Linked DNA regions of Oryctolagus cuniculus. The protein of the gene in region 1 purifies or fractionates together with the protein of each later gene. This does not show direct contact. Links are inferred from orthologs where the notes say so. Each region holds a gene or a part of one and is shown in the gene's direction. Other genes may lie near its edges.

Region 1 (5,915 bases):
TTCTTTAGTAATAGACTCAAGATTGCCTCTGGTCTGGTTTCTCGGTTAATATTTTCAATTAATGCTCACGGTAAACACCCTTCCTTAGTTTAGAAAGCATTTGCCAGTGAGAAAAGTAGGAAGGCTTTTGGCATTTAGGTTTGCTGGCTGGCTGGAATTGGGTAATGCCTGCAACCACAACTCTTGGTCCCTGAAGAAGCATAAATCTTCAGACCACTTTACACAATAGGTGGTGATAGTATCAAACATTCTTCGTGGAAATCTGAGATGTGTAGCTATGTGTCTAGCCAACAGAAATTTGAACTTATTTAAAAATTGATTATTTGCTTTCCTTTTATTTTAAAGAGAGAGAGAAAGAGAGAGAGTGAGAGAGGAAGAGAGAATCTTCCATCCACTGGTTACTCCCTGAATGCCTGAAATAGCTGGGGCTGGGCTAGCCTGAAGCCAGGAGCCAGGAACTCCATCTGGGTCTCCCACATGGGTGGCAGGATCCCAAGCACTGGAGCCATCATCCACTGCCTCCCAGGGTGCACATTTGTAGGAAGCTAGAACCGGAATCAGAGCTGGGACTCCAACCCAGCTCTGCTATGGGATGTGGACATCCCAAGTGTCTTTTTTTTTTTTTTTTTTTTTTTTTTGACAAGCAGAGTTAGAGAGAGACAGAGACAGAGAGAAAGGTCTTCCTTTTCCGTTGGTTCACCCCCAAATGGCCGCCACAGCTGGTGCGCTGAGCAGAAACGAAGCAAGGAACCAGGTGCTTCCTCCCAGTCTCCCATGCGGGTGCAGGGCCCAAGCACTTGGGCCACCCTCCACTGCCCTCCCGGACCACAGCAGAGAGCTGGACTGGAAGAGGAGCAACTGGGACAGAATCCGGCGCCCCAACAGGGACTAGAACCCGGAGTACCGACGCCACAGCCAGAGCATTAGCCTAGTGAGCCGCGGCGCCGGCCCCAAGTAGTATCTTAACCATTGGACTAAGTGTCCACTCCACCAATGGAAACTTAACTAAGAAATAGATTACCAAAGTATTCCTCCCTTTTACATTGTAGCCATTTTTAATTTTCCTTCTGCTTATAACCCGTATCATTGATGTTTATTTTGCTTAAACAACATTTTGCTGTTGTTTCATGGATACTTAACAGCAATTATGGAATTTTATTTTGGAGGACAATTTACTTGCAGTCCCACTATTCTGAAAAGTTACTTTATTGCCGGCGCTGCGGCTCACTAGGCTAATCCTCTGCCTTGTGGCGCTGGCACACCGGGTTCTAGTCCCGGTCGGGGCGCAGGATTCTGTCCCGGTTGCCCCTCTTCCAGGCCAGCTCTCTGCTGTGGCCCGGGAGTGCAGTGGAGGATGGCCCAAGTGCTTGGGCCCTGCACCCCGTGGAAGACCAGGATAAGTACCTTGTTCCTGCCATTGGATCAGCGCGGTGTGCCGGCCACAGTGTGCCGGCCGCGGCAGCCATTGGAGGCTGAACCAATGACAAAAGGAAGACCTTTCTCTCTGTCTCTCTCTGTCTCTCTCTCTCACTGTCCACTCTGCCTGTCAAAAAAAAAGTTACTTTATTGAGCCTGTCAGAGATACAGGCCAAAGAAAAGGCGAACAGAGCTTCGAGTCAAGGGCAGAAGGCCGGGGAGAAGGGAAACCATCAAGAAACCGGAGTGGAACAGGAGTCATTTCTGAAAGGTAATTTACAAGTTGGCGTTCCCATGGCACGAAAGATCACTTGCACCATTTGGAAAGCAGCGAGGCTGTTTGGCTTTTCAGAACAGCTGTCTCGGTGAACTCTCCCCAGCCAGGCTCGACTCTCTACGCTGTTTCCCTTTTTGTCTTCCAAAGCCCAGCATAGGCGGAGTTGGCAGCTAGAACAAGGTTGCAGGCGCTGACACAGGAAACAGCCCGTGGCTGGACTGGTGCCTGCATGTAGCTGAATGGGCACACACCGCCCGGTCTTAGCAAGGAAGCAGCCGTCAACCAAAGCACTTGTTCAATGTCACCAGCTTGCTCCTTTCCTTATTCTAAGGGTCTCAGCTGCTGTAGGAAGGCAATACTAAAGCTGTGACACAGCATCCCTCAGACTGAACTTGGTGGCTCTTTTGTAACAGGGAGAAGTAGGAAGTAACTAACATTTATTTAATGTATCCCACACTGTATGGAGCACTAAATATGTAAAAGGAGACTGATTTCCGACCGCTGGCTGTGTCTAGCTTGCGTGGCCTAGGTCAAGTCACTTAATGTCTCGGTGTGTCCTGTTTTTTTTTCTGTAACAGTAATCAGAACACCCACATCACAAATGTGTTATGAGGAGCAAGTCCACTATTAATGTGAACAGTGCCTGGACACGGCGAGCGCTGTGTGTGTTCGCTGTTATCTCCCATCAGTTAACGTTAACACTGCCCTGTTTGTCCTTTTTCCCACTGAAGAAACTGAGGCTAAGGGAGATTAACTCAATTACCGGTGATGGCAAGAGCCGGAAACCAAACTGATTTGTCTGCCTGCAGTGTTTTCTTCCTGGAACATGACTGGGCCTGCTCAATGCTATCAAATTCCCCCTCCTGCTTGCCAGCTTAGCGTTGGGTTTGTCAGCTCGTCTTTGTACCCACGAGGGTGAAATCCTACACGACTGGGGCTCTATCTTTAATCCCCCATTCCACTCATCCCTGGAAAGAGGCCAGGGGTCCCTATATGGGGTTCAGGGGGAGCAGCAGCTGGTTCCTGCGCTGTCCGGCTCAAGGCCTAACTCCGGCATGGCCAATGCTTCCTCTATTAGAAAGCAAGGGCGGACCTCGCTGGAGAAAAGAAGTGGTCTGACAAGTAGGTCTCTAATCGCGGGATTCCAGGGAGCAGAGGGAAGGCGGTGCAGCTTTAAAAACAACTCCACTAAAAGAGCAAGAAACAAAACAAAACAAAAGTGAAATAAATTCCAAGATCGCTGAAGCTAATAATATCCAAAACCATTATGATGGCAACCCGGAATCCATCTAAAAATTACTGATGAGATCTTTTGGTTTTGAGGGTTAAGTCCATTTTGTATTTTACACCTATGGCCTGGGACCGAAACGCGACGCGAGCCGCGGTTCCCGGCCAGACTCTGGGATTTCTCTACCCATGTAGCGGCTTCACGCGTCGGCCTCCACCGGCAGACGCTCTGATGGAGAGGAAAAACAAAGAAATGGCTGAAGGAGGAAGGTCGTTTTCTGCCCCCCGGGGAATGCCCCCAGCGCAGGCAGCGCCGCCGCGGAGACCCGGGGCCTGGCACGGCTCACGGGCCGCGGCCAGGCGTGAGGACCTGGGGCGCTTGGGGTTCGGAAAGACAACGTCCGTGACCGGGTCTCGTCCCCCCAGGGATGGTGTGGCCGAGGCGCGGCGGGGCTCGGATTTCCGGGACCGGATGGCGGTGCCCAGCCCCGAGCCCTGCGCTGCAGGGCGTGCGCGTCCCGGGCATCCGTCCGAGCTCTGGCCGCCGCGCAGCTGCTGCAGATCCGGGGGCCTGGAAGCTGCAGGCGTCCCCCCTGCCCGGGCCGCAGGGCGGAGTCGCCCACCTGTCATCAGAGGCGCCCCACGTGGGCCGGCGGGGAGGGGGCGAAGGGAGGGAGAAAAGGCCGAGGCGTGGAGGGAGGCAGGAGAGTGGGAGGAGAGGAGCCGAGGAGCGCGGAGGGGACACGGGGGGCGCGGAGAGGAGCCCAAGAGAGGCACAGAATAGAGGACCCGAGACACCTGCATAGGACAGGTAAGGCGGCCCAGGTGCCCGACCAGGTGGGAGGGAAGACCCAGGCCAGGCGGCGTGCGGGAAGAGACGGGCGTGAAGAAAAGGCTGCGGATAACGGACGAGGAGAGGCCGAGGCAGAGACTCCGGGGGCGAGGGGGGCGCGTGGGTCCCTGGAAGGAGGCCGGGGGAGGCCCTGGGGCCGCTGCGCCTTTAACGTTGCCAAGGCGACAGCGCGGGCCAAAGCGAGGCCCATTGACGTCAGCAGCCGAGCCCTGATTGGCTGCGGCCGGGTCGTTTCCGGTGGGGCCGCCGCCGTGCCGTTATCGCGGAGTGCAGCGGGGTGGGAAGCAGTCGGTGAGGGAGCCCCGCACGCCGCAGCCTCGTACTCGCAGCCCCGTGTCCGCCGCCGAGCGTCCGCAGGTGAGGAGGTTCTGCTAGAGACCCCGGCGCCGGCCTTCGCCACCGCGGCGTCCTCTTTTTTTTTTGGGGGGGGGGGTTGGGCCGACCCAAGATGGCGTCACGGGGAGCGACCTGCAGGGGGACGGCCGCACCCCCAGCCGCTCCCCGCGGGCATCACGCCCTCGGCTCCGGGTCTGCACCCCGGAGATCCCCGCTCCCGGCCGCCGCGGCGTCCGCTGCGGTGCGGGGCACCCGGCCGTCCCGTCGCCGCCCCGCCGCCCCGCAGCGCGCGGTCCCCCGGCCCCAGGCCGCCCGGCCGCCTCCGCCCCCGCGCGCCGCGGCCTCCTCGGCCGCCCTCGCCCCTTTGCTGAAGGGCAGCGACGGCAGCTCGGTCTTGGGCGAAGCCGCGTCCGTTGCCGGCCGAGCCCGCGACCCAGCCGAGGAGGCTGTCTCCTCCTCCTCCTCCTCCTCGCCGATTTCCGGGCCGTCTCGGTCGCTGCCCCGCGCGCGGCGGTCTTCGTCCGCTCTCACCTCCCTGGGTTTCCCGATGTCCCTTCCGGCCGGAGCAGCCGGGCGAGGGGCCGCTGTCCCCTCCCGCGGCGGTCGCGACCGCGGCCTCTCCCTGGGAGCTGGGCGTTAACCCCTCGGGCCCGGGGCGCGCGAGCCGGGGCTGTCCGGCGGCGAAGGGCGGACGAGCGAAGGCTTCCTGTCGGTGACCCCCAGGGGGGTGCGGCCCGAAATCTGGAGCCCTTTGCGCAGAACGGGTCTTAAATATTGCCTCGAAGTTGCGCTTTGGAAATGGTTGTCACGCCTGGATTTCTGGAAGGAAACACTTGGCTGGTTTTCGGTAGAAACCGTGTAGCGAAAATGTTGAAATATGAAGTCGTGTTTTTTTTTTTTGGAGGGCGGGGAGAAGCAGAGTTCTCTGGCCCTTTACAAACACAGAGTTAATTCAGGCCTGTTCCCTTAAAAATACCAAGCCCACGACATTTGGACATTTCGGGCTTCACGTGCTGGCTTCTTTAATCTCGGGGTGTTTTTGTTCGTGTCCTATCTCTCCCAGTGTTGTGTTTTTGCTTTTTTTTTTTTTTCCCCCGCCTAATATCTTGGTCTGTTTCAAACCAGCAAGAACCAGTTTCGCCTCTTGGGCGAGTTCTTTGGTCTCTACCAGCTGGAGAGCCAGTTTTAGAGAACGATTTCTGTCATCAGTTGAATACCGGTACTGATAAGCCTCCAGTGTGCCCGCGTGTTTCGAGGCATAAAGATCCGAGTTATCCCTGTTCTTGCTGGCCTCCGGTACTGTTTGAACTGGGCCTCTGCCGAAGTGGATTTTCAGGTCATGTGGTTACCCGACCTGGAAGAGCAGCTGGTATAAATCTAAAGGAAATACACTTCAAAATTTTTCCTTTTTCGTGTTTATTTCTTAAGTAGTAGCATGATTGTTTTTCCATGGCTTGAAGTTTATGTGCCTGTCAGGGGGGAGCCCCAAACTTTCTCCTGGTTTGTGTGTTAGTCTGCTTGTTACTGACCTTTATCCTGAAAGTTGTCAAAGCAAAAAGAGTAAGGTGTAGCACTTGGAATAGCTGTTAAGTATTTTTCTTTAAATTTACAGTTCGGTGTCTGGTTTTGTGTGCATTGTAATTAGAAAAGTGTGATTGATGTTGAATTCATTTGCAGAGTGGTGGGGAAACACTCTTCTCTTCTAAATTTAACTGCATAATTGGGAGTCCAGAGGGAAGCTGTGATGGTCCTGTTGTTAAATTACCATGCTTTCAATTCTAGATAAGCTTAGCTGCTCCTTGTTAG
Region 2 (5,995 bases), on another chromosome or scaffold:
CCAGAACCTAGAGAAGAGGGACTAGGATTCCAGCAAGAACCTAGGGACAGGGGACTAGGATTCCAGCCCAGAATCTAGGGATGGGGACTAGGATTCCAGCCCAGAATCTAGAGATGGGGACTAGGACTCAAGCACAGAACACAGGGACGGGGACTAGGATTCTGGCCCAGAACCTAGGGACAGGGACTAGGATTCCAGCCCAGAACCTAGTGATGGGGGTTAGGATTCCAGCCCAGAATCTAGGGACAGGGACTAGGATTCCAGCCCAGAACCTAGGGATGGGGAGTAGGACTCCAGCCCAGAACCTAGGGATGGGGGCTAGGATTCCAGCCCAGAACCTAGGGATGGGGACTAGGATTCTGGCCCAGAACCTCGGGACAGGGGGCTAGGATTCCAGCACAGAACCTCGGGACAGGGGACTAGGATTCCAGCCCAGAACCTAAGACAGGGGACTAGGACTCCAGCCCAGAACCTGGGGATGGGGGGATTAGGATTCTGGCCCAGAACCTAGGGATGGGGGGACTAGGATTCCGGCCCAGAACCTTGGGACAGGGGACTAGGATTCCAGCCCAGAACCTAGGGACGGGGGGCTAGGACTCCAGCCCAGAACCTGGGGATGGGGGGATTAGGATTCTGGCCCAGAACCTTGGGACAGGGGACTAGGATTCCAGCCCAGAACCTAGGGACGGGGGGCTAGGACTCCAGCCCAGAACTTAGGGATGGGGGCTAGATTCCGGCCCAGAACCTAGGGACAGGGGACTAGGACTCCAGCCCAGTACCTGGGGATGGGGGTTTAGGATTCTAGCCCAGAACCTAGGGATGGGGGACTAGGATTCCGGCCCAGAACCTAGGGATGGGGGCTAGGATTCCAGCCCAGAACTTAGGGATGGGGGAAGGATTCCAGCCCAGAACCTAGGGACGGGAGGCTAAGATTCCAGCCCAGAACCTAGGGACAGAGGACTAGGACTCCAGCCCAGAACCTAGGGACGGGGACTAGGATTCCAGACTCCAGAGCCCTTACGTTTCAAGGGGACAGAGTACAGATATTCTTAAAACATGAATTTATATGAACACCTGGCAAAAATTCTAGGGTAAAATTACTCCTCAAACAACATAAATCGAGTGTGTAAAGTAGAATTAGAAAAAAAGTCACCTCTAAAGAAGCAAGAAAGGAGAGGACAAAACCAACCAACAAAGCCCTCAGGACAAACAGAAATGACCATGGTAGAAATACAGTCCAGGCATTCAGTGACTATAACAAGTGTTAGTGGTCCAAACGCTCAAGCTGAAAGACAGAGATGATTTTTTAAAAACACCTTTATTGTGAAGAACGTGGAGCACACAGAGAAGTGGGGAGAGCAGCATGAACAGCGCTGGCGAACCGGACAGGCGGGGCCGGCCGAGCGCACCCGGGACCGGGTACCCGACAGGCACCGCCCGAGGCACCCGGGGCCGCGTACCGGACAGGCGGGGCCGGCCGAGCGCACTGGAGCCCGCGTACCGGACAGGCGGGGCCGGCAGAGCGCACCCGGGACCGCGTACCGGACAGGCGGGGGAGGCCGAGCGCACCCGGGACCGGGTACCCGACAGGCACCGCCCGAGGCACCCGGGGCCGCGTACCGGACAGGGGGGGCCGGCCGAGCGCACCCGGGACCGCGTACCCGACAGGCACCTCCCGAGGCACCCGGGACCGCGTGCACAGGGGCCGTCGGGGTGACAGAATGAAGTGGCTCTAAAGGCAACAAGGATGCCCAGCGTCCACTTCCGAGGGGACGCGGATCTGGGCCCCGGCAGCGTTCAGCCACGCACTGCGTCTGCCTCTCCGCACCCGGCCACGGTCGCGGGGTGCAGATCTGCCCCCTCTTAGCCGACGGCTTTTCTACACATCTGTTACATGTTTAACGCACAGTGGCTTTTACGTGAAAAGCACCCGGTAGAGCGGCGGAAAACGAGCGGGCAGTAGCTGGCAGTTGGTTGTACCTCGCCCGGACCGCGCACTTTCTAACAAGTTCCTCCCCCAGTGTTCACAACCTCGGCGCCTGGCACCGCGGGAGCCAAGTGCAAGTGTGCATTAACTGTCCCCGTCCCGCTGGTGGTCGCCACGGCCGGCCCCCAGCGGGCCGTCCACCCGCAGCCTCGGCCCTGGACTGCCGGCCCTGCAGGGCACCCTCCGACCCCGCCCCCGAGCGCCGCCAAGCCCCGCCCCCCGAGGCAGCCCCGCCCCGCGCCGGTGCCGCGCCTGCGCGCCGGCCGCCCCCCCCCCCGCGGGCCTCCGCGCGCGCAGCCTCTGGCCCCGCCCCCCGGAGCCGGCGCAGGGCGCAGCTTCCCGCGGCCCGAGCCAGCCAGCCGGCCGGGTGCGTGCGTGCGTGCGTGCGTCGCGGCGTGCGTGCGTGCGTGCGTGCCGTGAGCTCGCCGGGCACCGCGGCCTCGCCCTCGCCCTCCGCCCCTGCGCCCGCAGCGCGTCGGCCGCCCCCGCCCCGCCCGCCGCCCCCCGCCGCGCCCGGCCCGCGCCCCCGCCGCGCCCCCGCCGCGCCCCGCTCTGTCGCTCTCCCGGGGGGCGCGGCCTTGGCGCTCGCGGCGCAGGTGACCTCTCGGGTCTGCTGGCCGGAGGTGCCCGCCGACGACCATGGCGAAGGTGGAGCAGGTCTTGAGCCTCGAGCCGCAGCACGAGCTCAAATTCCGAGGTAAGCCCGAGGCCGCCGCCGCCCCGCGCGCGCCTCCGCCCCGACGGCGCCGCTGCGGGGCCCGGCCGGCCGGCGGGGGCCTTCGAGGCCCTGGCCGAGGCCCGGGGCTGCGCCGGCCGGGAAGGGGCCGCGGTGCGCGGCGCCAGCCTGGCCCCTGCTGCCCGGCCCGCTGCGGACAGCCGCGGGGGCCAGGCCGAGAGGACCGGGCCTCGCCAGGCGCGGCCGACGTCCAGCACGTGCCCGACGGCGCGGTGCAGGCCCTCCTGTCCCCAGGACAGCCTGGCGCTGGGCACCAGGAAGCCGCGAGCCACACCTCCCCCGTGGGAGGCTCCCGCGCGGGCCGCTCCGCTGTCACGCGTTCGTGTCCGTGTCCCGGGACCTTGTCTGACTTGGCGTTCCCGCCCAGCGCACGTCCTGGGCGTGGGTGGACAAGACGGACGAGGCCTCCGCCCTCGGAGCGCTCCCCGGCCGCCGCAGGACACCGGATCCCGGGAGGAAGTGGCGCTGGCCGACTGGACAGGTCGGCGTGGCCCGGCCAGCAGCGGGGGCTCCGTCAGGCGTCTGCGCGGGGCTGGCCGCGGGCACCGGCTTCTGTGGCCTGCGGTGCCCAGTTGGCAGACGGGGCACGTGGACCCCCGCTTCGGAGCGCGCACTGCCCGTTGTGCTGCCCGACCCCTGGGCCTCGTCCGGAACTGTGGCTGCTGGAGTCCCGGTGGAGCGTGGAGTGACCCCGAGGTGGGAGCCCGCGGCGGCCTCGCGCCTTCGGTGGGAACCCAGCAGAGGCCACGGGGACCCTCGCCCCGCGGCCTGCGGCTGCGCCTGCGCATAGGGCAGACGTTTAGGGGAAGCCACGCTTTCCAGTTGCGATTTTTTTTTTCCTGGGAGTGAGTGAACTGCAGCTCCCAGTCAGCCAGCGCCGCTGCCGCGCGTGTTTCTGCACGCGTGGGGTGTGCGGGGTCCGGCTCCGTGTGCGTGCGCGCTGCCTTCGTTCGGTGCGTCTGGGCACGGGTGAGGCAGGCCAGGCAAAGCCGTGACTCGGGTGCGCCCGAGATAACGTTTAGACTCGACCTTGTCGTCACCCGACGTTGGGTCCCTCCGGGAGAGCGGCGTGTGGCTCGACCTGGTGAAGGGGCCTCGGGACGGGCGTCCAGGGAGCCGACGCGGACGCGACGAGCTGTCTGCAGTGCTCCGGATAGCTGGCCTGTGCGCCCCTGGGAGTTGGCGCCTCCGCGCCTGCGGTCCACGGACGTTTCCCGAGTGCCTGTCCCACGCCAGAGGAAGCAGGACGGCCCCACTCGCTGCCTCCAGCGCTTGAAGTCAGGAGGCGGTGGTGGTGCGGCCATGCGAGGTGGTGCCGGGTGCCCCGGGCGATGCGAGGTGGTGCCGGGTGCTCCGGGCCATGCGAGGTGGTGCCGGGTGCTCCGGGACCGGGCCGTCCGAGCTGCGCTGCGCGGGCGCAGTGGAGGCAGGCGGGACGTGGGGGCCCTCCCGCGGGGCAGGGGTGCCGAGTCAGCTGGTTTCCTGGGACACGGCGGCGTTCCCACGACGGCGGCAGAGGACACCTGTCAGGGTTGCAGGACGACGTGCACACAGGGTGGTAGTGGACAGGAGGTGCCGCTGCTGTCCAGGGGGAGGCGACTCCCCCCACCCCCGGCCCTGGTGCTGTGTCCTCCTGTGTGACGTCACGGAGAAGGGCCCTGGTGCAGAGAACTCCAGTTTCTGTCCCGGTTCCTCACGTGAAGATGCGTGAGCTCGGGCTGACCAGGTCACTTCCAGCGCCTGGTGCCACTGGTGACTTACGGGGTGACACTCGAGGCGGCCCTGTCTCCTGTGGAAGTTTGGAGGGAGTCGCGGTAGAGGTGTTACCCTGCTCGCAAAGTGCGTGGTTCTGTACGGTGGTCAGCGGTTGTATATTACAACCCTGGAGGTGGTGGGCGGTGGCTGAATAATACTCTATGGAGGTCAGAGGTCAGCGGCTGTATATTACCGTGTGGAGGTCAGTGGTCAGCGGTTGTATATTACCGTGTGGAGTTCAGAGGTCAGTGGCTGTATAGTATTCTATGGAGGGGGTGGTCAGTGGCTGTATGATACTGTGGAGGTCAGTGGTCAGCGATTGGATAATACTTTATGGAGGTCAGAGGTCAGCGGTTGTATATTACCGTGTGGAGGTCAGTGGTCAGTGATTGTATTATACTCTGTGGAGGTCAGAGGTCAGTGGCTGTATAGTACTCTATGGAGGTGGTGGTCAGAGGCTGTATAGTACTCTATGGAGGTTGATGGTCAGTTGTGTAATACTCTATGGAGGTCAGAGGTCAGTGGCTGTATAATATCTATGGAGGTCAGAGGTCAGTGGCTGTATAGTACTCTATGGAGGTGGTGGTCAGCAGCTGTATGATACTCGGGAGGTCAGAGGTCAGTGGCTACATGATACTGTGGAGGTCAGAGGTCAGCAGCTGTGGAATACCCTATGGAGGTGGTGGTCGTGTTGTACCGTATGGAGTACTGGAAGCACAGGGCTGTAGAGAGTGCCAAATGCCCAGTGCCCTGTGCAGGTTGGCAGGTGTGCGGTGCTGTACGGAGGACTGAGTGCAGGGCTGTACATTTTTGTAAAGTACTGCAGCGAGTACTGAGTGCACAGTGCTGTGGAAGTGGTTAGGTGGCACAGTACTGTTTACAGCACTGAGTACAGAGTGCTGTGCAGAGTGGTGGTTGTAGACAGCTGGTTTCTCACTTCCACTGTTCTACCTGGAAGGCGTGGCAGCGGACGGTGATCTCTGTGGCCATGGGCTGACTGATGTCACGGTGGCCAAAGTCACTGGATGCTTTTGCCAGGAAAGTGGCTGAGAGAAGGTGTGGGGTCCGCCTGCTGAGCCTGTTAGCCTGTGCCTTGAGAAGAGGCGTCTGGTGCATGTGTGAACCACGTCGTGGGCCTTTTGTTTGTTGGGTTGTTGTTTTAAACTGAACACCAGGACGATAAAGTTAGAATAAAGACTCAGTGCCTGGGGCGGACCCTGAAGCGTAGTGGGTAAAGTTGCCACCTGCAGTGCCAGCATCCCGTATGGGCACCGGTTCGAGTCCCAGCTGCTCCTCTTCCGATCCAGCTCTCTGCTATGGCCTGGGAAAGCAGTAGAAGATGCCCCAAGTCCTTGGGCCCCTGCACCCACATGGGAGACCTGGAAGAAGCTCCTGGCTCCTGGCTTCAGATCGGTGCAGCTCCAGCTGTTGCTGCCAACTGGGGAGTGAACCAGCGGATGGAAGACCCCTCTCCCTCTCCCTCTCCCTCTCCCCCTCCCCCTCCCCGTCCCCGTTTC
Region 3 (6,059 bases), on another chromosome or scaffold:
CTACTAGATATGGAGGCCGGCGCTGTGGCGTAGTGGGTGAAGACGCTGCCTGCAGTGCCGGCATCCCATATGGGCACACTATATCCATCTGGATGCTCCACTTCCAATCCAACTCTCTGCTATGGCTTGGGATAGCAGTAGAAGATGGCCCAAGTCACGTGGGAGACCTGGAAGAAGCTCCTGGCTTTGGATCAGTGCAGCTCTGGCCGTTGCAGCCATTTGTGGAGTGAACCAGCAGATGGAAGATCTCGCTCTCTCTCTCTCTCTCCTCCCTCTCTGCCTCTTCCTGTGACTCTGCCTTTCAAATAAATAAATCTTAAAAAAAAATACTAGATATACAAATTCTTACTCATTTTAAGACTGTACCTGTACAATTTTTGAAGCAATGAGAGGAGAAAAATTGTGGGTTCTAAAGATGGATGACTTAAGTGGGCAGAGCTTTCTTAATGATATGGACTGGAAACTGGAATGTATCCAGTTCAGGCTTCCCATTAAACCTGAGATTGGGCAACCATTGTTTCATAAGGGAGTGATTGGGAACTTCCTGCGCACGCTGTCTTGCTAATTGGCTGTTTGCACACTGGTGATTCTCAAATGTTTTTGGTTAAGAGAGTTGTCTGCCTTACTGTGGAGAGGCCCCTTAAAACAGATAGCTTGTCCCTGGGAAAGACACTGGTAAGACACTGTGATTTACAAAGGCTTTTAGGATCCTCAATAAATAAGTAAACGTATGTGGGAAACCATTCTGTGGACTGATTGACAATCTCAATCTATTTTTTTTAGGCTTAAGCCCTTCTCCTATAAACATACAATTTTTGGATTCTCCTTCATTGATTATTATTGGCATTTCAAAAATGTTTTGTGAGTAAAGAAAATCAAAGGGAAAACAAATTTAGCATCTGTGTTTCTAACTATTTAAGCCTGCCTATCCTTCCAGGTTTTTTGTGGCTGAAGATCTGTTCCTCCTGTGTGGCACAGTTTCCTGTGTGTGCTGGATTAGCTGATCTGCAGAGCTATTTCCGGATGGGTTCTGGTACCTGGATTGCACAGGAAAGGTCGGACTTTGTGCCTCTGTCCCGTCTGCTGTTCCATTTGTCTCATTTGTTTTCTAGACAAACTGGGCTGCTCCTTCATGGCACCAGCATCAATGCCCTTTGTTTTCTGATGCTTCCTAGGGATTTAAATTCAAGCAGCAGCATACAATGCAATGATTTATTTGCAACGCATTCATTTGTTTCATTTGCTGTTCCTGTCCCCGATTACCCTGGCAATCGGTTGATGATTTGTCAGCAACTTTGCGGCGGGGATTTTCTTCATTTTCGTTTCAGTTTACTACAGGCTATCATAAGTGATGCAGATGATATTCGTTTCTGACACGTGAATGTGACAACTGTTTTGGTTCGGATCCGTCATTAATCAAAACTGAAGAACAGAATACAGCAACTGAATTCAGCGCTGCAGATTCTGACTTTCATTTCTCGCGTTCTAACATGTGCTTTGTCATATCTCCCCCAAGGCGCCTCTGCTTCTTTCACGAGGTCCGTTTCCTCATCTCTCTTTGCATCACTGGAGCGAATTCAGGAAGCAGGCGAGGTTGGATGGGAACACGACAGAAAATTCAGCCCTACCAATAGACGGGTGGATAGAACTACAGAGCAAACTGACAAATCCCTGCTGTAAGGGTTGGGGGGGAGCTGCAAGTCAGCCTTCGAAAGTTTTTTTCTTTTTTAGCGCGGACGAGACGCTGTCTGAGAGCCAAAAAGAGAGTCGGCGGGCCCCACCCCACTCTTCTCCAACGGACCTCATTCTCCTTCCCGCCCGCAAGCAGCCGCTACTACAATTCCCAGAAGGCACCGCGCAAGGCCGCAAAGGATCAGTCCTTCGGCGGAGAGTCCTCCCCCGGCAAGGAGCATGCTGGGAGTTGTAGTGAATCGGCGCTTCCCGGCTACTTCCTTCCATTAGGCATTTCCTTTTGAAAAATGGTGATGCATTGCCGTGGCAGGTTCCCTAGTTTCGCACTTTGCGCTCAGCGAGACGGAGGGCTGCGCCTCTTGCCCAGCGCTGCGAAGGGCGCCAGTCCCTTGCGGGCTTTACTCCGCCCTCTGTTCACGCCCGTTCCCTTGACAGCTGGACTGTGCTCGCGGCCGCGAGGCCGGGGACGCGCAGGCGCACCAGCCCAGTGCCGCGCTAGGCAGGCCTCGAGGGCGGGACGGACGCCAGAGCCTCTCTCGGCCGCCGGGGCGCGCACGTAGGCACGCAGAAGCTGTCACGTGGGGCGCCGAGGATCGCAGTGCGCGTGGCCGCGGCGGCTGGTGTGGGGTTGAGTCAGTTGTGAGACCCGGCGCTGCTGACCCAGCGGGCGACCCACCAGACCGGCGACAGAGCGGCAGGCGTCGGGGCTCGGGATCCGTGAGCCTGGCCCCCTCGTAGAGATCCGCCGAGCCGGCGCCGCCGTCGTCCCCCGCCCCCAGCCAGCAAACCGCCGCCGCCGCGGGCGCGCCCCCGCTCTGCGCTGTCTCTCCGATGGCGTCCGCCTCCGGGACCATGGCGAAGCACGAGCAGATCCTGGTCCTCGACCCGCCCACAGACCTCAAATTCAAAGGTTAGGCAGGAGGAGGACACCTCCGGGCAGGGAGGGGGCGAGCAGAGGGCTCGAGGGCAGGTTGGGGCCGCGGCCCCAGGGAGCGCCCCCTCCCCCACGCCCGGGCGCTTTCCATTTTCCGGCGGCTCCCTCGCCGCCTTCCCGCGGCCGGCCAGCCCCTGCCCGCTCCCTCCGTCGCCCGCGCCTCGCTGCGCGCGCCGGCCGGGGCGAGGAGGCGGGCGGGGTGGTGGTGGTGGGGGTGAACCGGCCCGGGCGCCGCCGCCGCCATCTTGCGGTCCCGCGGGGGCGCCTCCCGGGTGCAGTCGGCCGCGGGCTCGCGTCCTTGGCCCCCGAGGCCCGGGGCGGGCGTGGGTGAGGGGCGGCCCGCGAGCGTGCGCCCGGGTGTGCAGCGGCGCGGGGCGTGTGGAGGTGGCGCAGGCCGGCGTCTGGCTGTCAGCGGCGAGGGCGGGCGCGGCGGCCCTCGGACCCGCGGGAGGAGTGAGGGCCGCAGCTCGGGCCCGGGCGAGCTGGGTGGGGCCGGCCCCTGGGTCCTGGCGGAGGGCGTCGCTGCCCGCCTTTTTGTCCCGTGGGTAACTCAGCTGTCAGGGAACCGGAGCGCCGGGGGAGGCGGAGAAGCGCTCATGAGTGCGCTCCGGACTGGTCCGGAGGTGTTGGCAGAGCCCCAGGCGCGTGCGGGCCGGGAAGGCCTGCGTCAGCCCCGAGTGGATCGCCGTGGGCTGCTCGGAGTGGGTCTGCCTGCCCCTCGGCCGTGACGTCTCCGCGCGCGGCAGACCCGTGGCGGCGCCTTCGTAGCCCTCCACTCGAGTTCTGCTGACTTTGGCCTTTGCGTTTGCGGCCCCCCCTCCCCCCCAAACCCTGAGAAGGGTGATAAGGTGACACCCAGCTCTGGAACTCTGCTGATTTCAGGGCTCTGCCTGTGATGGAGTGAGTGATCGGTGTGTCTTGGTGACCCCGTTTGGTCCATTGGCTTTCCCGTATGCAGGGTACTTTAGGGAAACGAGTTAAACAGGTTACACTTTTTTTTTTTTTTTTTTTTTTTTTAAAGGAATCCTCATCGTGCGAAGATCTAAATAGAAAGCAGGTTCTGTCTTTTCTTTGGTTGACTGCAAAGTGAATCCCCGATTTGGAAGGCAGGGTCTTGTGTTTCAGTTGCAGTAGCTTGGATGAGACCGATTTTGGTGCGGTGTATGGCAACTCCAGTGCTAAAAGAGACAACTGAAATCCTTTATTGTTGTGTAGAGTTGAGTCCAAAAGAAAAGTCCGCGAGGAAATTTTAAAATAGTTTTAGGAAATGGAAAAATAATATCTTCTGGCATTGTGAGAGTAACAGTTGTATGATGACTTTGCAAACTGAGTGAATTTGCAAATCTAAATGGAAACCTAAGTGAGCTGTTAGGTAAGGATTTTGTTCGAAAGGCAACTCTTAGGGCATATTTTGAGGTGTAGCCAGCACATTCTATTGTAGCAAGTGTACCTGTTCCATGATAGTACATAGTTTTAGCGGGAGGGGGACCTTTGAGGAATATGGTGTAATTATACCCTACTCAAGTAGCCGTTGTCTTAAGTTGAAGGAATTTAATGTGATGTATATTTTTTCAAGAGCATTTTGATTTTACGTTTTGACTGGCTGACAATAGGCAGCTTCTGCATAAGCATAGATGGATTGTCATTAGGACTTAGAAGCCTTTAAAACAAATTTTAGGTCAGGATGTCTGCAGTTGACAGGTTTCTCCCTAGAGAGGTTATGATGTCGCTTTGGTAATATTCATAGTGGAGAAGCAAGTTCAGAAAACAACCAAAGACACGACGACACACACAGTAACTTAGGAAGCAGGTTCCACAACAGAAACTTAGAAACTGTCTTATTCATGCATTTCACGTGTTGTGAGTACCTGGTAATACACAGCTGTGATGTTAGAACGGGTTGTTCTCGCCTTGTGGAAGAAGTCGTCCAGAAAAGGCCAGTGAGTGCAGACCACGTTACCGAGGCGCAAACACCTCTGAGGAGCAAGGCCCCCCTCCTCCACCTTTCGGAAGCCGCCCGGGAAGAGGCTGCTTTCCAGTTGTCTGGAGGGCTGAGCTAAGGGAGTGGCTGAGTAAACACTGCAGTGGAGAATGCCAGGCGCAGAGCGGACCGAAGTTTCTCAGGGAGTGTGTGCTGCTTTAGAGGTGGGTTCACGGGGAGCACGAGGATTGGGGGAGAGGAGCAGTGCAGTAAACTAGTGGCTGACAGTTTTGGTGCTTGGTTTTTTGCCTCCTCAGTGTTTTTCAAAGGTTGCCTTTCGTTGTGGTGGAAACTTGTCTACATTTAAGTGGACGGCACAACACCAGCTGAAGAGACTTATTTAGAATCAGCCGTCTATTTGTTGTGCCTGGTTTGATGATGACACTAAGACTTCGTTTGTCCTAAATCACCCTTAACTTTTTGTTTAAAGGAATGCCTGTTAAAAGTGCATTTTGCAAAATTCTTTTTGAATACTTAATTTAAATGTTGATTTTTATCTACTTGAGAGAGAGAGAGAGAAAATCTTCCATTGGTTGGTTCACTTCCAAATGCTGCAACAACCAGGGCTGGACCAGGCAAAAGCCAGGAGTCTGGAACTTCATCCTGTTTTCCCACATGGGTGACAGGGTCCCAAGCACTTGCGCTGTCATCCATTGTCTCCCAGGATGCATTAGAGAGTTGGATAGGAGGGTTGCGGGTATCCCAAGAAGTGGCTTAACCTGCTGGCCACAATGCTTGGCCCTTGCAAAATTCATTTTCATTTTATTTTTGTCTCAAAATAAGATGATCTCTTCGGGAGTGTCTCGTTTAATTTTTCTGAGCTGGGATCCCTTTGTTTCTGGAACTCATTTATCTCAAGATGAATTGTCAGCACTTTGCATAATTCTGGAGGAGATACCAGCTTAGTTTTTTTCTACAAATCTCAGTATTTAAGAAGGCACTGTTTTGTGCAATTGTTAATATATGAAAGTGCATTTATAAGGATGTAATTTTTAAGGATTTATTTATGTATTTGAAAGGGAGAGAAAGAGATCTTCCATCCCCCAGTGAAGCATAAATCTCATTACTCTGTTCCTTAAAAGTTTTCTAGTAGTTCTCAGTTGCCTATAGGAACAAGTCTATTTTATGAGGATGGCATACAAGCCCTTCTGTGATGTGATGCCTCCTCTGTAACACCTGCACATCTGTACACATCTGTGCTTTTTTCCTGAGAAGGAAAAACTCTTCCATAGCTGAGGTTCTTTGTTCCTGTTTTTGCTGGGGAAGGTCATGGTTCATACTTACACCATGTACTATCCTTTCTCATGTTTTCAGTGACTAGCTTTTTTTTTTTTTTTAAACATACAAATACACTGTCTTTTCATTTTGAAAACAAATAGCAAACAAAATGCCTCCTTGGCCCCAACTCCTAGTACCTGTCCTTCCCAGTCTTTGATTTCCATTGCATTCACA
Region 4 (5,343 bases), on another chromosome or scaffold:
TACATTAGTAAATGAAACCTTAGAGTCAGTAGCATCATTTGAAGTTACAGAACCAGTTGGTGAATACACAGGTGGTTTAAATAAAGCAGTAGAGGGAAGAGCTTCTCCTTTGTCCCATTGTGAACCAGCAACGTCGCAACAGAGTGAAATCAGCAGTAGGGACATGTTTGCTGACTGTTTATCTAAATCTATTATTAAACATTCCATAGATGAAAGCAAATCAGTGACCCCAAATAGAGATAAAACCGTATGTAAGGAAGGCATACCAATTCCTGGAGAAAAATTACAGTTGACTTTCCAGAAGTTCCCCAAATTTCTTGATGTTCAAGATCACTTGACTGACTGTTCACTTTCAGTTGGAAAGGAATGTGTTCTAGAACATAAAGGTTCTATGGCTCATGGATTTCCTTTGGAGACACTGCCAACTTATCCAACCATGGCAGGTCAGAAACTTGATTTGACAGAACTTGCTAAGGATAAAACAGTGAAAAAGCATAATGTGAAGAATACAGCACTTGAGCCCTTGACTTTTGGACAGGAAAATTCCTTTCCTCATTCACATGCTTTCTCGTCTTCAGTGCTTACCTGTGTAGATGGCTTTCATGTGGAAGACAAGCCAAAAATCAGAGACAGAAATGTAATACCTGACACTCCTCCATCGACTCCTCTGCTACCATCCCAGGCCAGTTCTGAGTGGGATATTAAGAAGTTAACCAAAAAGCTGAAGGGTGAATTAGCCAAAGAATTTGCACCTGCTACACCACCTTCCACCCCTCACAACTCATCTGTTGGTAGTTTGTCTGAAAATGAACAAAATACCATAGAGAAAGAAGAGTTCATGTTGAAACTCATGCGGTCTCTTTCAGAAGAAGTTGAAGGCAGTGAAGATGAAGAGCACCCACAATTGGATGTGAAGTCAGAGCACTTGGGGAAGAAAGTTCAATTTGCCGACGGATTAGCTACACACATCATTTCTGTGGCAACTGAAATGGCAGCTTCCCACTTAGATAATAAAATAACTCAAGAACCCAAGGGTAAATGTGCTTACTTGGATGTGCAGAGTCAAAGAAATGCATCGCCTACTTTTTTAAATTGCTCAGCTGAAAATTTGCAAACATTGTGCAGTTTTGCAGGTGATATGGCAACAGAAGTCATTACAGAAGCTGAGAAAATTGCAAAAGCTAGAAGTTGCATGCTTTTTAGGCAGAGGAAGAACAGTTGTTATCTTGATGGTGACCGAGATTATCGATCAGAAGAGAGATTAAATATGGACGTTATAGCACACCCAAGAGAAGTGGACCCATTTCTTCTTTCATTACCACCAAGTTCTTGTATGTCAGGGCTGATGTATAAGTATCCCAGCTGTGAAAGTGTGACAGATGAATATGCAGGCCACATTATCCAAATACTAAAACAGGAAGGTGGTAACAGTGAGTTAATAATGGATCAGTATGCCAATAGACTTGCTTATCGATCTGTTAAGTCAGGATTACAAGAAGCAGCTAAGACAGCCAAAGTGAAGTGCAACGCAACAGTGTTTCCTGTGCAGAGCTCACAGGTGAAGACAAACAGTGAGCTGCTAATGCTTTCAAATAAAGAGCACCACCAAGAAATAGATAAACAAAGACAAAGTAAAAGAAATGGAGGTTACCTTTGTAAAACTCACACTTGTGAAAGGACACAGGATACTTACAGAAGTGAGTGCTCTGAACTGTGTAGTTTTTCAGCCTCTCTTGCTCACAGTATAGCAAGAAACGTTAAAAAAGAACTGACAGAATCCACAGTTGGCTTGCCAAAATCCTTAACAGAGCCTTGCCTTTATGACAGATCGGTGTGTGTTGAAGACACTGAGCATCGCATTGAACCAGAATTTCCTAAATCTCCTATGCCTTCCTCTCGGCATCACAGATTTTACCAAAGAACGGGCAGTGTTACTGGACATGGATATGGAGAGAATGTTGTTCAAGCTATAGAACAGTATGCTAAAAAAGTAGTGGATGACACTATAGAGCTAAGTTTAGGATCTGCAGTTTCCCAAGTGTCTGATGCCACAAGATCAGCAGATAGGCTCACTTATGCTGAAAAGCTGTCACCACTTATAAGTCGAGTTTGCAGATACTGTGACCTTAAAGAACTTCATGATTGCACCGGAAATTCATCTCAGCACTTTCCCAGACAGAGTTCACTTTCTTGTAGGAAGCCAATTTCAAATTCAAAATTTAGCAGTGTCTATCAGAAATCAAAAATTTTTCATCTTGATGTCCCTCAAATTCACGTTAACCTTGATAAGAAGACGTTGCTTGCTGAGAAGATAGTTGCTGAAGCAATTGAAAAAGCTGAGAGAGAGCTGAGCAATGCCAGTTTGGCAGCTGATAGTGGCATTGGGCAAGATGGTGTTAGCTTCGCTGAAAGCCTTACCACAGAAATAATGACATCAGCCATGACAGATGTTGGCCAGGCTGTTAGCTGGTAAGTTTCAAATTTAACATGAAAAGTTAAACTCGATTGTGTTAGGCCCTCTTTGGAGATACTGTTATTTTTAATCCTAAATTAACAAAAATTTTCCCTATTCCATTTGTTATTTCATATCCTGTGGCAGACTCATAGATTCTGTCTCCTGATCCCTTTTGAGCTGGAAGATGAGTTAGTAGCAGATCATTACTTTTACAAGTTCACAGAGCTATTGCGTAGGTAAAGTTGAATGAAAGAAATAGCTGGGGAATTTGGAATGTTACCATGTTAATTTTCTACTCTAAGGTTAAATTTTCATATAATGTTTTCTTTGCCTGCAAGGTAAGTTTTCTTGTAGACAGCTTGGATTAATCCTACTGCCCTGGGGCAGAAAACAGAAATTCTCCAAATACTTATGCTTCCTCTTTTGATCAGCTCACAATCTAAAGGGATAGTTCTTTTTGATAGTCTTTCAGGTCTTGTCTTTGAGTAGCTGTCTCTTGAGTTCAGTGATTCTAACAACTTAGTTAATGTTTTTACTTTTTTCCCTTTTCAAATTATTGACACATAATAATTGTACACATTTATGGAATACAAAGTGATAGTTTCAGTGTATGCAAGTGTAATCTAATCAGGACAGTTAGCATATCTGTTACCCAAAACACTTATCATTACTTTGTGTGAAGATCATTCAAAATCTTTTCTTCAAGCTATTTTAAAGTACACAATAAATTATTGTTAACCCCTAGTCACTCTAGTTTGTAAAGAACAGTAGAACTTCCTCCTCATCTTTACCTGTGTTTTTGTACTTGACAACCAACCTCTTTTTTTAACCTTATTTCTCCCTGAGAAAACATTGGTGCCAACCTGTGTTACTTGTTTGCAGGATTGTATTTTCTAAGTCTCACTGGAAAGAGAAATGCTCGGAGTTAAGGTGGAATTTAATGGATTTGTGTGCTATCCTGGATTGTTGAGTAGTTTTTGTCAAATGTGACTAGGATTGCTTCTTTTTTCAGTCATCTTCAAAGAGGGAGCTTGGCCAGGGCTCTTGAATCCAGTTGTTCCATGGCATCCTCTTGAGATGAGAGATGCTGCAGGTTTCTGGTGAACTTGGGGAGCTTTCTGTTTGCCAGATATACTCCACTGCTTGTTTTTGTATAGACTTCAAACTAAGAATGATTATGTATGACATGTGAATGTCCATGGGAAATTGTGTGATAGTGATTTTTTTTTAAGATTTATTTTACTTATTCGAAAGAGAGAGAGAGAGAGAGAGAGGGAGAAATGGAGAAACAGAGGTCTTACATCCACTGTTTGACTCCCTAAATGGTCACAATGGCCAGGCCTGGGCCAGGTTGATGCAAGGAGCCAGGAGCTTCTTCCTAGTCTCCCGCATGGGTGCAGGGGCCCAAACACATGGCCTTCCTCTGCTGCTTTCCCAGGCACATTAGCAGGGAGCTGGATCAGAAGAGTAGCAGCCGGGACATGAACCAGTGCCCAAATGGGATGCTGGCACCTAAGGCAGCAGCTTAACCTGGGAAGTGAATTTTTAGAAGGGCAGAACCTCTAGACTACATTCTGAACTATCATTTTTCTGAGCTAGAATAACCCAGCAGTCATCAAAAACTCTTCTCTAGACCTCATCCTGTGGATCATTTCAGCCAAAAGCCAAATGAATGTGACACATAACAGGAAAAGGGCTCAAAGAAGAAAGTAATGCTCTCTTGTGGTCCACAACTGTAATATGCCTGTCCTTGGACTGCCTAATAGAATAATGCTGATTGTTGTGTCTTAAGTAGAAAGTGAAAATAGCCCAAAGAAAGAGTGCAGTTCAGGAGTTGTTCTAGCTATTGAGCATTCAGAAGTTAAGTAAAAAAGGCAAAAAAAAAAAAAAAATCTGTCTTCTTTTGGAGTTTAATTTTTTAACACTTTTTTTTTTTTGAAGATTTATTTTATGTATTTGAAAGAGTGTAACAGAGAGAGAGAGAGAGAGAGAGAGAGGTTTTCCATCCACTGGTTCACTCCTCAAATGGCTGCAACGGCTGGAGATGGGCTAATCCGAAGCCAGGAGACAGGAGCTTCTTCCATTCTCTCATGTGGGTGCAGAAGCCCAAGGACTTGGACCATCCTCTGTTGCTTTCCCAGGTGCATTAACAGGGAGCTGGATCAGAAGTGGAGCAGCCAGGACTTGATGAACCAGTGTCCATATGGGTTGCTGGTGCTGCAGACGGTGGCTTAACCTGCCATGCCACAGCACTGGCCCCTCTCTTGAAGGTTATAGTAGACTGAGATAGACAATAGATAAGTATAATGTATAGTATATCACTTGGTGGTAAGTGCTTCAGAGGAAAAATCAAAGAGAGTAGCTCTGAGTGGAGTAGTTTGGGCTGGTTTGCAATTTTGAATAGGTAGCAGGGATTGCAGTGGTGGTATTTTAGGACTTTTGTTCCTGTTCTGATTGGTGAGAAGCCATTAGAAGCTGTTTTTGTTTGTTTATTTTCATCTATTTGAAAGGCAGACACACACACAGACATATATCTTTTACCTGCTAGTTCACTCTCCAAATGCTCACGACAGACAAGGCTGGACCAAGAGCCGAGAATTCTGTTGGGGTCTCCCAAGTGGGTGGCAGAGTCCCTAGCATGAGCCATCACCTGCTGCCTCCCAGGATACTTCAGCAGGAAGCTGGATCAGAAGCAGAGTAGTCAGACTAATACTTGAGTACCAAATGTGGGTATCCTAATCTGTGGCTTAACCCACTGTGCCACAATACCCACCCCCAGTGTAAGATTTTGATTAGAAGATTGACATTTTCCCTCTTCACATTTAAAGACATCACTTTGAACTTTTTTTAATTAAATATTAGGAGGCAAGCAGATAGGTGTTTTTTTT
Region 5 (5,781 bases), on another chromosome or scaffold:
GAGACTGGGCCATGTTGAAGCCAGGAGCCCGGAACTCCATCCAGGTCTCTCAGGTGAGCAGCAGGGACCCAAGTCCTTGAGTCGTCATCTGTTGCTTCCCAGGGGATGGGTGAACAGGAAGCTGGAATCGGAAGCTGAGTGGGACCCAAATCCAGCCACTTTGATATGGAATGAGGGCATCCCAAGTGGTGTCTTAACAGCTGTTTAGGCCAAACAGCTGTTTCCTTCCGAAGTTCTTTGTCAACATGAGTCCAACTTTTTTTTTTAAGGACTTTTCTCCCTTTATCCGGGAGAAATAACTCTGTGTGTGTCTGTATATATGTTTAATATATATATGTGATGTTTATACAACTTTTTTTGTAATAACAAGAAAAAATGGAAACTTCCTTAAAATATAGAGGAGGCTTAGTGAATGACGGCTCATTCAACCGATGGAATACTAACTGCTATTAATGTTATTATTTAAATTTCAATTGTTTAATACAAAAATGAGTTCATAGCACAATTGTAATTAGACAAGGCATGAACACACCTGCTGGTGTGAAATGTGTGTCAGTGCACACATGTCTTCTTAAGAAAGTCCGGAAGGGTGGATGCTGTTATGAACATACAAAGGGGGTGTGTTCCTGAGTGATGCCTACTGGTGATCCTAGCCTACTTACTGTTTTCTGTATGGTAAAATTGTTGGTAATTACCAGAATCTAATTTTTAGTTTTTGTTTGGAACTTGGATATAGTTGCTTATTAACTTCTTGGTTCATAGCATACCCCTATTGTGAGTTTATATAGGGCCTCTCTCATTTTAACTTTGCTTCTTTTTAATAAGTTTTTATATTCATGAATTACTTTTAATGTCAGAACAACGTTTTAAAAAGATTTATTGATTTACTTGAAAGTCGGAGTTACACAGAGAGAGAGAGAGACAGAGAGAGAGAGACACAGAGAGAGGTCTTCCACCTGCTGTTTCACTCCCCAGATGGCCACGATGGCCGGGGCTGGGCCAAGCTGAAGCCAGGAGCTTCTTCCAGGCCTCCCACTTGGGTCCAGGGGCCCAAAAACTTGGGCCATCTTTGCTGCTTTCCTAGGTGCATTAGCAGGGAGCTGGATTGGAAGTGCAGCAGCCAGGACTTGAACTTGCACTCCTATGGGATGCTGGTGCTGCAGGCAGAGGCTTAACTGATTGTGCCACATGGCAGGCCCCAAAGTCAGAACAGTGAATAACGCTTGTACAAGCAGGGCGATGAAGGGCTTCACTTGTCTGTAAGAACATCAGGGGTGTCAGAAATTGTGAGCGCAGAGATAAGAACACTGGCACCAGTCATCTGGGACCAGGGCACATCATAGAGACCTCCTTTAGTCAGGGTTATCTCTGTGACAACTCTGCTTCCAAACAGTCTGCCGAAACACAGCCTTTACAGCCACACCTGGGTTTGAATTCTGACTTCCCCTGCTCACGGGTGGGCCGGCTTTGGGAGAGTCACTTCAGGGCTTGCTTTCTCAGCCGTATAACCGAGATACAATGTTATAGTGAGGATGAGACCTCTAACAGGCGTGGGAAGAAGTGCAAGCCGATAGTAACTGCCAGTTGGGGGATTCTGCTTCTCCGGATTTTCTTAGGCCATCAAACACCTCTAAGCGAAACCCACGGGGAGGGTCTCTCAGCTCTGCACCACACTGGCATCCATACCAGCGTCCTTCCTGGCTACGTGTGTTCTCTTGTTTGGTGCCAGCCATAACTTGCTGGTAGTGTTTAGGGGAAGCCCACACAAAACCCGTTGGGCACGCAGTGCGATGCTGTCTAAGGCAGTCACGCTGGGAGAGAAATGAGCAGCGTTCTACACGGGAACACTGGGGACGCCTCTGACCCCTGTGTGCCTACGACCTGAAGACTTCCCTCATCCCATGAGCCCCTCGACCCATCTGAGGCGAGGATCTACTCCCGGCGATCTTGTCCTATTCTGTCTCGGTTACTTAGATGTGCATTATGCAAGCTTCCTCCATTGCTAGCAATGAAAACTTGACTCGGGAATAACTTAGTGGTCAAGGTGGCACTTGCTCAAGTGTCCGGCAGCAGTGAAACCTTGGCGGATGGGCTGGAGTGGGGAGAAGGCAGGAGAGCAGGTGGAGGGAGGAAGGGGTTGTCTTCCAGGTGGAAGTTTGAGCTTGGGAAGCACTGGGTGACAACCTCTTTCATGAATAGGGACACTGTTGGCCACTTCCTCTTCCTTAGATGCGAAGCTGTATGCAGACCTCAATTACATTAGGAGGGCAAGTTTGAAAACACCAGCAATCCAGAACTTTTATTTTTTTTAACCAGTCATGAGAATCAGTCTGAAGCTAACCACTTGCCTAATTTTTTTTTTTTTTTTGCCAAATTTATTTAAGGTCTGGTCTGATTACTTCAGGGCCTTTGCTCATTTGAATGATCGCCTTAATATATCAGTGCTGTACCTGCAGACTGTGGGAGGGGAATTCTGCTGGAAATTTACACAGGCTGGAGGCTTTCATTGGGATTTCTCCTCTTACACCTGTGTCGTCTGTCAGATTGTGTCTGTGGCTAGTCTGTGAAGAGACTGAGCCCAAGACCCCGACACGGACACTACCTGCACACGGCAAAGTCAGGCTTAGAAATCAACCACCAGATTAGCGACTTTCGCTGCGTGCAAGCCCGGACGAACGCTGATTAAACACCATTACCTGGGGGGGCGGGGGTGGCACAGCAGACAATTCCCAGCACGCCCAGCATGGGGAGGGGTCCACGGGCTAATGCACCAGGAGCCGGATGTTAGGGAAGGGCTCCGGCCGCGGGCAGCGCAGGACGGGCTCGGCACCCACGCGGGGTCTGCAGTGGGAGGGGGCGCGCCGGCCCGGAGGCTCGGACGTGGGTCCCACGTGGCAGGGCCCGGCCGCGCGTCAGCCGCAGGGGCACCCCGGATGCGGCCGCGGCGCCCGGGATTCCTGGGATGTCTGAGGCGCGCGGGCGGCCTCCTCCCCGCCCCCGCCGCGGCCTCCGTGGGCATTTTCCGGCGAGGGGGGCCGCGAGCCCTTCCGAGAACGGCTCCTCCGCGCGGCCGTGCGCGGCCGGCGCGCTCCCCGGGAATGCAGGCGGCCGCACCGCGGTGAGAGCCCTCGGGCCCGGGCGCGCGGGGGTGGGCTTCCCGGCTTCCCGCCCGGCGGCGGCCCCGGCGCCCCGGCCCCTCTCCGCGCCCCCCCACCCCGCCCCGCGGCCGCGCGCGCCCCTCCCCCCGGCGCGGGCGGGGCTGCGGGCGCCCGACGCGGAAGCGCGGGAGGCCGCGCGCGCTCCCGGGGCCGCAGTCGGCGCGGGCGCGGCGGGCGCGGGGCGGGGCGAGGCGGCCGGGGAGGCGGCGGGCGCTCGCGCACGGGCCCGGCCGCCGCCTCGCCCCCTTCCCCTTCCCTCCCTCGGCCCGGCCGTCCCCCTCCGCACCCCTCCCCCGAGCGAATCACGCGCCCTCCTCTGACACTCGTAGCGGGCCCGAGCTCCGAATTTATCCTTCACGTGACCTGAGGGGGGTTGGGTGGTTGGCTGGGGACCGAGGGGGAGCAGGAAAGGAGGGAACGAAGTCTGCCGTTTCCCGGGCAACAAGCCCCGCCCGCCGGCTTGGGGCCGGGGGGGCGGGCGGAGGACGTCAGCACGTCAGCCGGGGTTTTGCGTTTTGATTGACAGTTGCCATAGCGACCGGGTCGGTCCGTCGCCATTTTGTTGGTTGGTTTTTTTTTAAACCCTTTCGCTTCCCGCCCGAATAATAATAAAAAGCCCCATTGGAGTGAGGCGGGGGTGGCGGCGGCAACCGCGGCGGGGGGATCCGGGGAGACTGCTGCCGTCGCTGCTGCTGATCGCGGCCCAGGTCGGGCTCGGGGAGCGGACACCCCGAGCGGGGGGTGCGGGCGCCGCCGCCGCTGCCGCCGCCGCTTCTGCTGCTGCTGTTCCTGCTGCTGCTGGTGGTGCCGCTGCCGCCGCCGGCCAGCGAGCGAGCGAGCGGGCGGGCGGGCGGGACCGGTGTGAGTGTGCGAGTGTGTGTGTGCGAGCGAGCGGGCGTGCGTGCGTGTGCGAGTGTCTGTCTGTCTGTGCGGGCGCTCGGGGGCGGGCGGTTCGGGCGCTCCTGGCGGAGAAGCCGCCGCCGCCGCCGCCGCCGCCGCCGCTCGGGCCCGGCGCTCCTCGCTGCGCAGGTTTGGAGCGCGCGCCATTTTGTGCGATTTACAAAATCCTCCTCGGGAAGAAGCCGCCGGCAGCGGCCGCCACTCGGCGCCCGGCCTCGCCGCCGCCGCCGCCGCCCTCCGCGCGGCCCCGCCGCCGGGACTCGGGGCCCGGGGACTGCGGTATTTGCCGGGGAGGGGGCTGTCGCCGCCCCGGCCCCCGGCGCCGCCGGACCCGCGAGCGCGAGAGACTGAGGAGGCTGCGGCGCGGCCAGGAGCCGGCCGCGCCGGGGGCGGCGAGAGGCGGCCGGGGCGGCGCTGGCTGCGGAGGCCGCGGCGGGAGCGCGGCGCGGGAGCCCGAGGCTGAGACTCACCGGAGGGAGCGGCGCGAGCGCCCCGCCATCGTCCCGGTGAGTGTCCGGCCCGGCCCGGCGCTCGGCTCCGCCGGGCCCGGCGGAGGGAGGGACCTGCCATTTTAGGAGGAGGCGCCGCGGGGCCCGGGGCCGGCCGCCGGGGGAGGGAGCCCGCAGCCGGGTCCCGGCGGGGCGGCGGGTGCGCGCGGAGGGAAAGTTGCGGAGGGTGGGAGCGGGGGCCGCGGCCTCCCGGGAGCCGGGCCTTCTCTGGTCGCCGGGGCGGAGGGAGGAGGCTGTGTTCCTCCTCCTCCTCCTCCTCTTCCTCCTCATCCTCTTCCCCCAGCTCCTCCCTCGTCCCTCCTCTAGGTCCCCACCAGTGTGGGAGCCGCCGGGGTTCTTCGCAAGGACAATGCACGGGTTAAGGGAAGCGGGGCCGCGCCGGGCGCCGGCGAAGGTCGGGGCCCGCTGGCTCGGCGGCCCTCGGGGGTCCGCGCCGGGTGGGGGTGGGGCGGGGGACGCGGCGTGCTCGGAAGTTGGGGCCGGAGTGCGGGGGAGCGGTGACCTGCTTAAGCCGCCGCGGAGACGCGAATTAAAATTGATACCTGTGTATTGCTACAAAACTTCGCGAGTCTATTTATAGGCACAGACCCGCCGAGGCTTCGCAGGCACCGGGGCCGCCGACTGTCTGAGCATTCGGCGAAGGCCTCCCCCCGCCCCCTCCAGCCTGAAACAGTTAAAAATGGCAAAATTAGTGAGTCAGTGGTTGCCTGTGCCTTTCGCCCGTCCCTGGATCCTAGGACTCCCATACTGCAGGTGCAGCGCTGGAATGCCAGCACCGTTTGCTTCTGGAATTCCGCCCCGACGGTCGGAAGAGACCCCCGTCTGCATTGTTTTCCGCATGTAGAGATTAGGGCAGATGGTGGCTGGCACTCCTCTCACGGCTTTGGGGATATTTTACCCCGTGTGCTGCCGGTAGGAGGTGTTAACCCATTTTACAGATGGGCACATTGAGCCCGGAGAGCGGGCAGTGACTCCTCCAAGGTCACACAGCTGGGGCTCCCGGAGCCAGGGGGCTGGCTAGGTTCTAACTAGCAAATTTCGGAACGACTTGCGTGCAGTGACTCAGGGTTCGATTCTAAGAGACTGTGTCTGTCCACTTACGGTTTCTGGCATGGGATTAACTTTGTAGTTTGCAGAAGTGGAGATGCAAAGCGGAGGTGAGCCTCTTTAATGAGACTTGCCAGCCCTCTCTCCCTGAAGAAAACCAGGCAGTC

Evidence for each region.
Region 2: the proteins of PRKAR1A (region 1) and VAPB purify together in Homo sapiens (affinity purification with mass spectrometry; 3 studies listed by BioGRID and IntAct, counting the BioPlex papers as one, with this or other methods). This does not show direct contact. The link is inferred for Oryctolagus cuniculus from reciprocal best matches to the Homo sapiens genes PRKAR1A and VAPB.
Region 3: the proteins of PRKAR1A (region 1) and VAPA purify together in Homo sapiens (affinity purification with mass spectrometry; 3 studies listed by BioGRID and IntAct, with this or other methods). This does not show direct contact. The link is inferred for Oryctolagus cuniculus from reciprocal best matches to the Homo sapiens genes PRKAR1A and VAPA.
Region 4: the proteins of PRKAR1A (region 1) and AKAP11 purify together in Homo sapiens (affinity purification with mass spectrometry; 3 studies listed by BioGRID and IntAct, counting the BioPlex papers as one, with this or other methods). This does not show direct contact. The link is inferred for Oryctolagus cuniculus from reciprocal best matches to the Homo sapiens genes PRKAR1A and AKAP11.
Region 5: the proteins of PRKAR1A (region 1) and DYRK1A purify together in Homo sapiens (affinity purification with mass spectrometry; 6 studies listed by BioGRID and IntAct, with this or other methods). This does not show direct contact. The link is inferred for Oryctolagus cuniculus from reciprocal best matches to the Homo sapiens genes PRKAR1A and DYRK1A.

Annotation. Positions count from the first base shown.
Region 1 is NC_091448.1:11,159,832-11,165,746, reverse strand, and holds the start of PRKAR1A (cAMP-dependent protein kinase type I-alpha regulatory subunit), read left to right. Parts: upstream 1-2,599; 5' UTR 2,600-3,731; intron 3,732-3,946; exon of another isoform or gene 3,947-4,130; intron 4,131-5,184; exon of another isoform or gene 5,185-5,915. UniProt on the Homo sapiens protein: Regulatory subunit of the cAMP-dependent protein kinases involved in cAMP signaling in cells.
Region 2 is NC_091442.1:3,792,411-3,798,405, reverse strand, and holds the start of VAPB (vesicle-associated membrane protein-associated protein B/C), read left to right. Parts: upstream 1-2,401; 5' UTR 2,402-2,626; coding exon 2,627-2,684; intron 2,685-5,995. UniProt on the Homo sapiens protein: Endoplasmic reticulum (ER)-anchored protein that mediates the formation of contact sites between the ER and endosomes via interaction with FFAT motif-containing proteins such as STARD3 or WDR44.
Region 3 is NC_091441.1:67,078,312-67,084,370, forward strand, and holds the start of VAPA (vesicle-associated membrane protein-associated protein A), read left to right. Parts: upstream 1-2,242; 5' UTR 2,243-2,523; coding exon 2,524-2,602; intron 2,603-6,059. UniProt on the Homo sapiens protein: Endoplasmic reticulum (ER)-anchored protein that mediates the formation of contact sites between the ER and endosomes via interaction with FFAT motif-containing proteins such as STARD3 or WDR44.
Region 4 is NC_091440.1:61,458,076-61,463,418, forward strand, and holds part of AKAP11 (A-kinase anchor protein 11), read left to right. Parts: coding exon 1-2,469; intron 2,470-5,343. UniProt on the Homo sapiens protein: Binds to type II regulatory subunits of protein kinase A and anchors/targets them.
Region 5 is NC_091435.1:7,581,290-7,587,070, reverse strand, and holds the start of DYRK1A (dual specificity tyrosine-phosphorylation-regulated kinase 1A), read left to right. Parts: upstream 1-2,309; 5' UTR 2,310-3,118; intron 3,119-3,648; exon of another isoform or gene 3,649-3,723; intron 3,724-3,799; exon of another isoform or gene 3,800-3,865; intron 3,866-4,440; exon of another isoform or gene 4,441-4,564; intron 4,565-5,781. UniProt on the Homo sapiens protein: Dual-specificity kinase which possesses both serine/threonine and tyrosine kinase activities. Exhibits a substrate preference for proline at position P+1 and arginine at position P-3.